Linked DNA regions of Neodiprion lecontei. The protein of the gene in region 1 interacts with the protein of each later gene in a pairwise test. Links are inferred from orthologs where the notes say so. Each region holds a gene or a part of one and is shown in the gene's direction. Other genes may lie near its edges. The genes, in order: ubiquitin-conjugating enzyme E2 variant 2 and nucleoside diphosphate kinase.

Region 1 (4,960 bases):
GATAGAGATATTTATTCGGTAGCTACGAGGTCGCTCAACAATAATATTTAACGGAATTAATTAATCAAAGAAATCACGCAGTCACGCGACGGTCTACAGCAACTCAGAGACGCGGACCATGATTCACAGAGAAACTGGCAAAACACGATGCAACCAAAATAGAGAATTAAGATATAAGAAAACAAGATACGAGCAACTTCGTAACGAAACAATACAACGGGAGAACCCTTACCTTAGCCGGTGACTCGGGCACGCATGCACTGATTTAAATTTAAATAAAATTTATCGATAGTAAGAAAAAAAAGGTAATAGAAAAGGAAAGGAGCTAAACGGTCATATAAAACGATAGAGAAACGGTAGCGATAGCAGTAAAGAAGAAGGAAAGGAAAATGAAGTGAAGGCAATTTCTACACGTAACGAGCGAGATAGAAAGAGTTATCTCAATCTCATGAGCGTAGAATAGATGGAGGTCGGGGTTTGGCTCGCCGTTCTCGCTGATGTCGTCAGGTAATCCTGCTTCCTGTAATTGGTCGTTTATTCCCCACTATAATTGGGTCATTCCTCCTGTGGCGAATATCAGTTGTAATTGTGTTACGCATCTTCAAAAATTACCGATAGATGACACGTAATGTTCCGCTCATGATTTCGTCGTTGATACCAGCTCTCACAAAATTTTCAGTTGCCGGCACCTTACCTTCCTAGTTGCCTATCGTTGGGGACCCTATGGCAAAAGCATGTGTGGAGCAAGGAGGATACCTCCCGGTCAAAGTTGCCGAATGGGGAGCAACAACTTGCAGTAACTCTCAACTTGGAGTGGTGGATTATGGCTCCATACTCCGTGATACAGTCACTATCGACAGGTACGCGGAATCGGTCCTCGGAGCGATGGCTCAACGCTGGAGCAGCGATCTTATATGTCGGTCCGGCGCCTGGCCGGGAAGTCCGGGAATGGCAGGCTGCGATCTGCCCTTTACGCTATTCTATACTCTTTAGGTATTCGCTTCGACCGGATTCGTCGTATAGGCAGTGGCGTTCTGTCCACGATATATCGGGCAGACCATGCGTCGTCACACGATGTCTGAATGCACTTAGGAGTGGTGCATTATGACTCACAAGGATTATGGTTCCTACATATAGGTTTGTAGCATCGGTTCCGAAGATTCTCGCAATGGCGGTAACCTGGAACAGTAATATTTATACTAAAAAGAGTACAATTTCGAAAATTTTCAGGTGAGTTGAAAAATTAACGACGGAGTCAGGAATCGAACTTGGTATCTAGAGATGCTTTACCGGAGACTTACTCCATTAGACCACCTAGCTGCCCTGACTACAATGTCATTAATTTCTCTCATCACCTATATTCGAGATTATTTTATTTTCGTGTGCTTTAGTCTCGACCGAGTGTAAAAAGTGTACACAAAGGCCGTGTTCGTAAATTGACTGACAGTACTGAAAATTCCCTAGGACAGAGTCAGAGCTATCCACGAACTTGGAAGCGCGAGAGAGATGAAAGATTGCTGACAGCAATGTCAGTCAATTTTCGAACACGACCAAAGTGTAACAAAAGTCTAGTGACATTTGTAAAACAAACAGCGCCATCCGACGTCACGTCCGCTAAAACAAACGCGCAAGTGTACACTCCCCACGAAAGTGTAGAAAGTGTAGCTAGCACGAACAAACCTAGTATCTAGTATCTGGAAATCATCGTGGAATGCTGTCAACGTCACAGGTGAGTGAAGTAATGCCATCTACAGTTCTGTAGCATCACCAATACATATGGACAAAATGTCGGCCCAGATAATGATTGTAAGCTCGCCTATCTCCACTTGCCACATAACCAACGTAATTAGACAACCTCCCGGAGGTTGCCCGAAGTTTTGCGACGTGAGTTTACTTTGAAATTGAGAGCTTGATTTTTGTCAGCCTCCGGTATAGGTAATGGAAGGTTTTGTCGTGAGATTATCGTAAGAAAAGCAATACTCAATATTACGTGGTTATATCGCTAAAATATTGCTGTACACCGTAGTAAAACCAACATTTATCAAGCCGCACAAATTTTGAGATCATGGCGGTACCCACGGCCGGTGTTGGTCAGTATTAATCGTGGTATTAACCACACGTATTTTCGTGATTCATTATTCATACTTGTACATTTTCAATGATCTCCCTGACCATTCTAGAGTCTCACGAACTATCCAATAATCATATTCCCACCTGAAACCAATTACTAATTCCACAATAATGAGTACTAGTCACCTGACAGATCACGTTTTTTCCCTGTCCCCTAATTGCATATCGTTCCTTAGTTCGTAAGTAACCATAGTCGAATGAAGAATATACATAATTTTGCATTTGCGTCTATTTGACGACCCCCTTTCTCATACTTTACCAGTTCAACCCGTCAAATTGTTTAGATCTGTCTTCTCTATGTGTCGTCGTAGTTGACGTATATCTCCGATGTCAAGAATCCACATCGTTGGTATCCACCAAAATGCATCAAACATCTTCCGCTCCATTACACATGTTTTCATTATTTTGTGGTCTTGTATCGTAAACTGCAAGCATTAGTGTTGTAACGTTACCTTTTAGTTGTTCCATATTTGGAAATAACCAAATGTCTTATTTCCTTGATCTTAATCACCGATTCTCCTTATACTTTTCTGATATGCTTTTTAATTTCAGACAAATGTTAGGTATTATCTGATATTTAAAATATGTTATTAACGACGTGCCTAACATTTTCATGTATTTTTGAGCTATAGAAAACGTAGTGGCACACAGTGGCCTTCCGTCCAGTTTTATTTTTTATGGATATGTTTGTTTTTGTATGAAACTAGATCAGAGTATAGGAAATGGCATGACCTAGTTCCCAGTATGCTTGACTAATTAAATTTTAATTGCATTACAATTTTGCACAATTATTTATCTAGCAACTAAGCTACAAATGCTACAATCTGTACCCACGTCATTTACCATCGACGATATCGTTTTCATTTATACAACATTGTCAATTCAACTGGTGGAGAATAATGTATAAAAATTTCTATATAATAAAAGTTGTCTAACTTTTAAATTATTCTAAGTTTCGTTTGTTTTAATTGTAATATAAGGCGGTAATTTGTACAGAGTTGTAAATGAAAAGCTCAATTGATCATGTAGAAACTAAAATAGTACAAACCATTAGAGCCTGTATATAACTGATTATCTTTCAGGATTAATTACTTGCAAATGACGCTATCAAATTCAGTAAAATTTATATATAGAACTAAATGTATCTTACTTAAACTTCTTCCAAAATTTTTAAGTCATTGTCTTATAAACGACTAAACATCCAATGATCTTGCAGACGCATTTCTTGTATCATCTACTTAAAAATCAATACAAATAAAAATCTCAAATGTTTTAAATGGTGCAATTGAAGTTAATCAATGTGAGTGTAATAAACACAATCGCCCCTAAGGGGCCTGAAGTTTCGAGGATTTATTAAAACAAATATACAACCAACTTTTCGACACCAACTTGCTTGACCAACTTTTAGAAAAATTATATCACATATTTTTCTATGTGTACTAATTTTGGAAAAAATTGTCTTACTAACTGAAGAAGTTTTGTAAAACAATTACCCTTGTATAAGCCCAGTATTATATACGTTATGAAAATGGTCAGAAATTGAGAAAATTTCATTTCGACACAAAAGAGTTTGAAAACTGGAAATTTAAATTACACCGAAAAAATCGATCAATCACGATCATCAACAGTTTCAGAAAGATAAAGTTTGAAGTTTAAAGTCAGAAGCTTAGAATTTTGTAAGACAACTTTAGAGTTGCTCGGTAACTAGAGCCAGTAATTTATCTTTAATGAACCATAGAGAATTCATTTTTTCATGAACAAAATGAACTATGTATGTATCATTTGAGATAAATAAATTTTACCATATGTTTTCTCCCTTATGTTGCAGCACAGCGAGTTATCTATAGTTAACCTTGTAACATGTCTTGCCGGATTATTAAGTAACTAAAACATCCGACAGCGTTGGTTAATAAGGTAAACAATAGGTATCTCGTTACTCTGCAACGTAAGCAACACAATGCTGAGTACGCTTTTGGTGGTGAAAAAACTATGGAGTTAGCAATTAGGTTATTCTAACTGACATTTGCTACATATTTCTATGTGAAAAATACGATTTCACTGAAATTCACCTCGATTAACTTTACTTGCATGTTTTTTACATGTTAAAAAAATAGCTATATTGTAACTTGAGAATTTCAAAAATACGATGTACAATGTGCTCTGACAATAGTGCCGCTTCCCCTATTTTGAGCTCGAGTGCTTCCCTCACTCATGGCCAAGCTCTTCGACTTTTACAAAAGTACCCTATGCTAAGTGCTTTGTGACAGTATTGAAAGAGAGTGATTGAAATGTTTTTGTCACTGCTTCACATCGAGAGTGAGGGTACTGCTTTTTTTCGCAAATTTATTCCCTATCACCGGTATTATTGAAACAGCAAGCTGTACTTGTTTCACAACTGCAGTGACTACATTTTTCTATAACTGAAAGTTAATGATTCACATTTGACCCTAGTCTTGTTATGTTGACTTAACACCAATTTCAACCCGATCTCGTTGTTCATAATTTTAGCTTCCAACTGTTTTTCTAATAAAACGATATACAACTTTGCGTAGTGTTACTGGAAATTCTTAAATATTCCCATGAAGATTTGTGAATATGTAGTGATGCTAAGATTTATTAATCCTCAGTTACATAAACACCAATAAGAGGATGTAAATATCTTACTGTGTAATGATTTACTGTAAATGTGAATTTGTCAGCCTCAACGAGCTATCGCCTTATGTTTCAGTTGTCCCTAGAAATTTCCGCTTACTCGAGGAGCTAGAACAAGGGCAAAAAGGTGTTGGCGATGGAACTATTAGTTGGGGTTTAGAGAACGACGATGATATGA
Region 2 (4,098 bases), about 20 Mb from region 1:
TGGTTATCGCGCAGCGGAGCGAAGCTCGGACGATGAAGATGCGATTTATTCCCGCGGAGTTGCAAATACAAAATGATTTCCAAATGTGAGAACATGGTATGACAAATGGAAACGAGACAGATGGGTACATGTTGGATATTCTACGGGACGGGTACAGCTCACGGCTGACTGCGTGATCGGCTTACGAAAAACTGAACCAGTCGATTACTCCTCGCGTTGCGGCAACCACGTGGTGGGAATGTAAGGAGTAAAATAAAGAACAGGAAAAACGATTGATGAAAGGCTAGGTGCAGAGTCTTTTCTCCCTCATACGAAATCTATAAAACTGCGCAGGTTTAGTTCGTGCAAATAATTACACACCGAAGTAACAGCAAAATTATAACAAGGAGTAAGAGGAGGCCATTTTGGATTCGATATAATCATAACTCGTCTACTTGTATATCTATATATATTTAGTAAACTGGTGGAAAACTTTTACCTATCCCAAAATAGCCGAGGAATTATATCGTCAGAGTCACGTGGGCTCGAGTAATAGACAGGAATTCTTAAATTATCCCTACATTCGGGTAAATTGGTAAATCGAAAGAACACCTCGGAGCCATTTTGACCCAACAATATGCCCCGAAAAAATTTCCGTGATTGTCTTTTGTTGTCATGTCTTCCCTATTTGTTTTTCGTTTTAGGTACGGAATTTAGACACTGAGTTTTCTGACCCAACATCGAAGGGAATTTGGAGCACCGAGGCAGCGGAACCTGCATCGAAAAAAAGAGTAGTTCGACTCACCGACTGTTGACAACTGCTGAATTTCATTCATTTTAAGTATGACATTTGTTCCGGCAATTTGCTGGTGTCCTTGCTGTTGCTGCTGGGCTTGCATCGAAACTCGTGACGGTGAAAATTTCCTCTATCCCGTAAATCGCGGGAAAAAATACAATCCAGGTCCGTCGTTTAGCCTTGATGCTGATACTTCGTGGGCTGAATCTTCGTCCGCAAGGTCGCGTCACGATTAAACTTTATCCACAGACGTACTCGACGTACGCAGCAACTTCGCTAACAGGCCAATTGATAAAAGAAAACAATATCTATCGCGATATATGACTTCATCGGCCAGAACAAGAACGCGATCGTTGTACGGCGGCCATTTTGAATTCGGTCGAGACACCGGGTTAAAAATTTTTTAAAACTATCACTTTCACGGATTCTCGTTCGTGTCCGAGCTCGTTAATTACTAATTTTCACTTTAAGCTACTCAGAGTCAACAGAAGCAAGTCTGTAATCGTTTTAAACCTGATTATAAGCACTGCAGTACGCCTGGGTTTGAGACTTTAGTGACGAGCTAACGACACGTGACGTCAGTATCGACAAGCATGGAGTCAGGTCAACTTCCGGCGGTGAATAGAAGGCTCGTATCTAACAGCTCGGGGGCCCGTGGCTTAGTTATCTTCCGACAATTATTAGGTTTGCAAAATGTTTTGAAATCCAGTTTGTGGGCGTGGTCTAGCAATGACATGCAAGAACGATATGATGGCTCGATGTTTCGGGTGAATTATTTAAGAATATGAGAAGACTTCGTGCAGGGTGTTGGACTTCTATTCTGTTACATCGATTGGTGACTCGGAAAACAAAACACTAACGACTGATTAGATTGCTTTAGAATTTACGTCGAATAGAAATTTAATTTCGTAGCGATTTCGCTCGAGGCGTATTGAGGGCATTTTCACCATCCTGATGGTGAAAACGATTCACGTGCCTTGGACTGTACGCCCCTGATTGAAAACAGCGAATCCTCCCGGCTTCGAGACGGCAACAGCAGTCATCCCGTTCTCACTCTCCTGTGGCTCGCCGGCGAAGTTTTGTCTCACCTCTTGTGCCCGTTGCCTTGCCAATTTCCTCTGCTAAATAACCGACAATAACAATGGGCGATAACAAAGAGCAAACCTTCATCATGATCAAGCCCGACGGCGTGCAGCGCGGGCTTGTAGGAAAGATAATCCAACGGTTTGAGCAAAAAGGCTTCAAGCTCGTCGCCCTCAAGATGGTCTGGGTAAGTCTCGGAACTGTATGATCTCTGGCATCGCGGCCATCATTGTCAGGCAACACGTGGTCAAGGTGTCTCTGTATCGACTGGAGATATTTGCCCTTAACTGCCTCGTTATTTCGTAACCAAATTACGGTATTTGTGTTGCATATGAGCCAACTTTATGCGGCGACAATGTCCCTTCGACTATGTCGATAATTGGTTGAAAAAAACGCATCGCCTGACGCGGAAGGGGCATTTTTCAAGTAGAGCATTTTTGTTCGATCTCGATACTTACGTGGCCATCTAGTCCAATTTGTCGCTGTTCGTTCAGATCATAGTTCTAACAATAAACCTCTGATCTAATCAAATGGAATCGGATTATCCAGGGCAATCGATACAGCTGCACATAGGTATACACACTGGATGGAATAATCTCGACCTTCGATACGCAACCAAGGTTAATTAGTAGTAGAGTCATTTTATTGTGTTTTCAATCCAGATTAAGGATGAAATACCTAGGAAAATTTAGTGGGGGAAATTATTTTGGATTGTGAGAAAATTTAAGAACTTTCAGTAAGATAATTCACCTCGATATCTGACGCTTCTTTCAGTCACAGTATCTATTCCTGAAACTTTCACATTTGTTCAGTTTGTCGAAAAGTTTCTCAATTTTTATCTAAAAACTTGCAGTAATAAATGACCCGTCGTTAACCGATCAGCGCATAATCAATTTATTTATCAAGATCTCGTTCTAGAATCAATGAAACCGCCAGTTGATCGAAATTCTATTGCCTCTTGTATGATTTTCTAATTCGTAGGCCTGATACTTCTTGGGTTGTTCAATCTCATCGTCGTAATTTATTTTCTTATTAACCGTGATCATTGTATTTATTTTCCAGCCTTCGGAGGACCTTCTCAAGCAGCACTACGCTGACTTGGCTGCAAGACCCTTCTTCCCAGGTCTTGTCAAGTACATGAGTTCCGGTCCAGTCGTACCAATGGTAATTATAAAAAAAGTTGTAAAATCCATTCACCAGTTACTCAACTTAGAAACGTTAAAAACAGAAAGATTTTTTCTGTGCGTTGAAATTTGAGCCAGTTCCTGACCATGTATCTTTCTTTCAATTAGGTTTGGGAGGGTCTGAATGCGGTCAAAACTGGTCGCGTTATGCTGGGTGAAACTAACCCAAAGGATTCAGCACCAGGAACAATCCGTGGTGATTTCTGCATCCAGGTAGGACGCAACATAATCCATGGATCCGACTCAGTTGAATCTGCCAACAAGGAGATCAAACTGTGGTTCGGAGAGAAGGAAAAGAAAGACGTTGTCGACTGGTCTTCTTGGGCTGAGAAATGGATCTACGAATAGATTACCGTCCAATAAAACAGTAACATTCTCACACCTCCCAGTTTCCTACTTCAGTTCACAGTATACCCATTGCTGGAGATACGTGGGTGCGACTATAACTGTACATACAAGAACAACCCAAAAAGTCCAAAAATAAAAACGTTAAACAAAAGGGGAAGAATCTACCTCACCTGTACCAGTTTTCCAAACTGAAAATCTACATTTGCTTCCTCTTCCTCACCGCTTTTTCAATAGAATGAAAACAGTGCCGAATCACTTGTTTCGTCAACAGGTATGAAGATTTGGTTGCAGTTGGAATAATTTAATTAGAAAGATTTCATTCGATTTAATTGAAATTCATTATTATTCTGACAAAGTTGAAGTGTGTAAAGTCTAGTTTCCAGTTCACCCGACTATTCTTAATTTGTATTTGGCACTTTGACCAAAAAAAAGATGTGTTGGAAATTTATTAGAACGTCGTTATTTTATTATACATAATATTTTCAACACTTGATAGCCTGGTATTCCTATTGTAATTTATATCGAAGATATAATATGTAGTGTTTGTCTGGGGCTTCTTTTATGCTACGGCTGAGTACATACATACTTTAATAAACGATGAGCTGAGCAAGTGTGTGTATATATGTAATAAGAAAAAAAAAACAAAAAAAAAAAAAATGCAAGCACGCCTTGATAAATGTAACAACAATCACATCGAGGAATGATTAT

What was found.
Region 2: the proteins of ubiquitin-conjugating enzyme E2 variant 2 (region 1) and nucleoside diphosphate kinase interact in a two-hybrid assay, tested with the Caenorhabditis elegans proteins (2 studies listed by BioGRID). The link is inferred for Neodiprion lecontei from reciprocal best matches to the Caenorhabditis elegans genes uev-1 and ndk-1.

What each region holds. Positions count from the first base shown.
Region 1 is NC_060261.1:26,288,409-26,293,368, reverse strand, and holds the start of ubiquitin-conjugating enzyme E2 variant 2, read left to right. Parts: upstream 1-1,835; 5' UTR 1,836-2,065; coding exon 2,066-2,090; intron 2,091-4,858; coding exon 4,859-4,960. UniProt on the Caenorhabditis elegans protein: Involved in protein ubiquitination, but has no ubiquitin ligase activity on its own. The uev-1-ubc-13 heterodimer catalyzes the synthesis of non-canonical poly-ubiquitin chains that are linked through Lys-63.
Region 2 is NC_060261.1:5,993,523-5,997,620, forward strand, and holds nucleoside diphosphate kinase, read left to right. Parts: upstream 1-1,800; 5' UTR 1,801-1,916; coding exon 1,917-2,045; intron 2,046-2,920; coding exon 2,921-3,022; intron 3,023-3,150; coding exon 3,151-3,390; 3' UTR 3,391-3,541; downstream 3,542-4,098.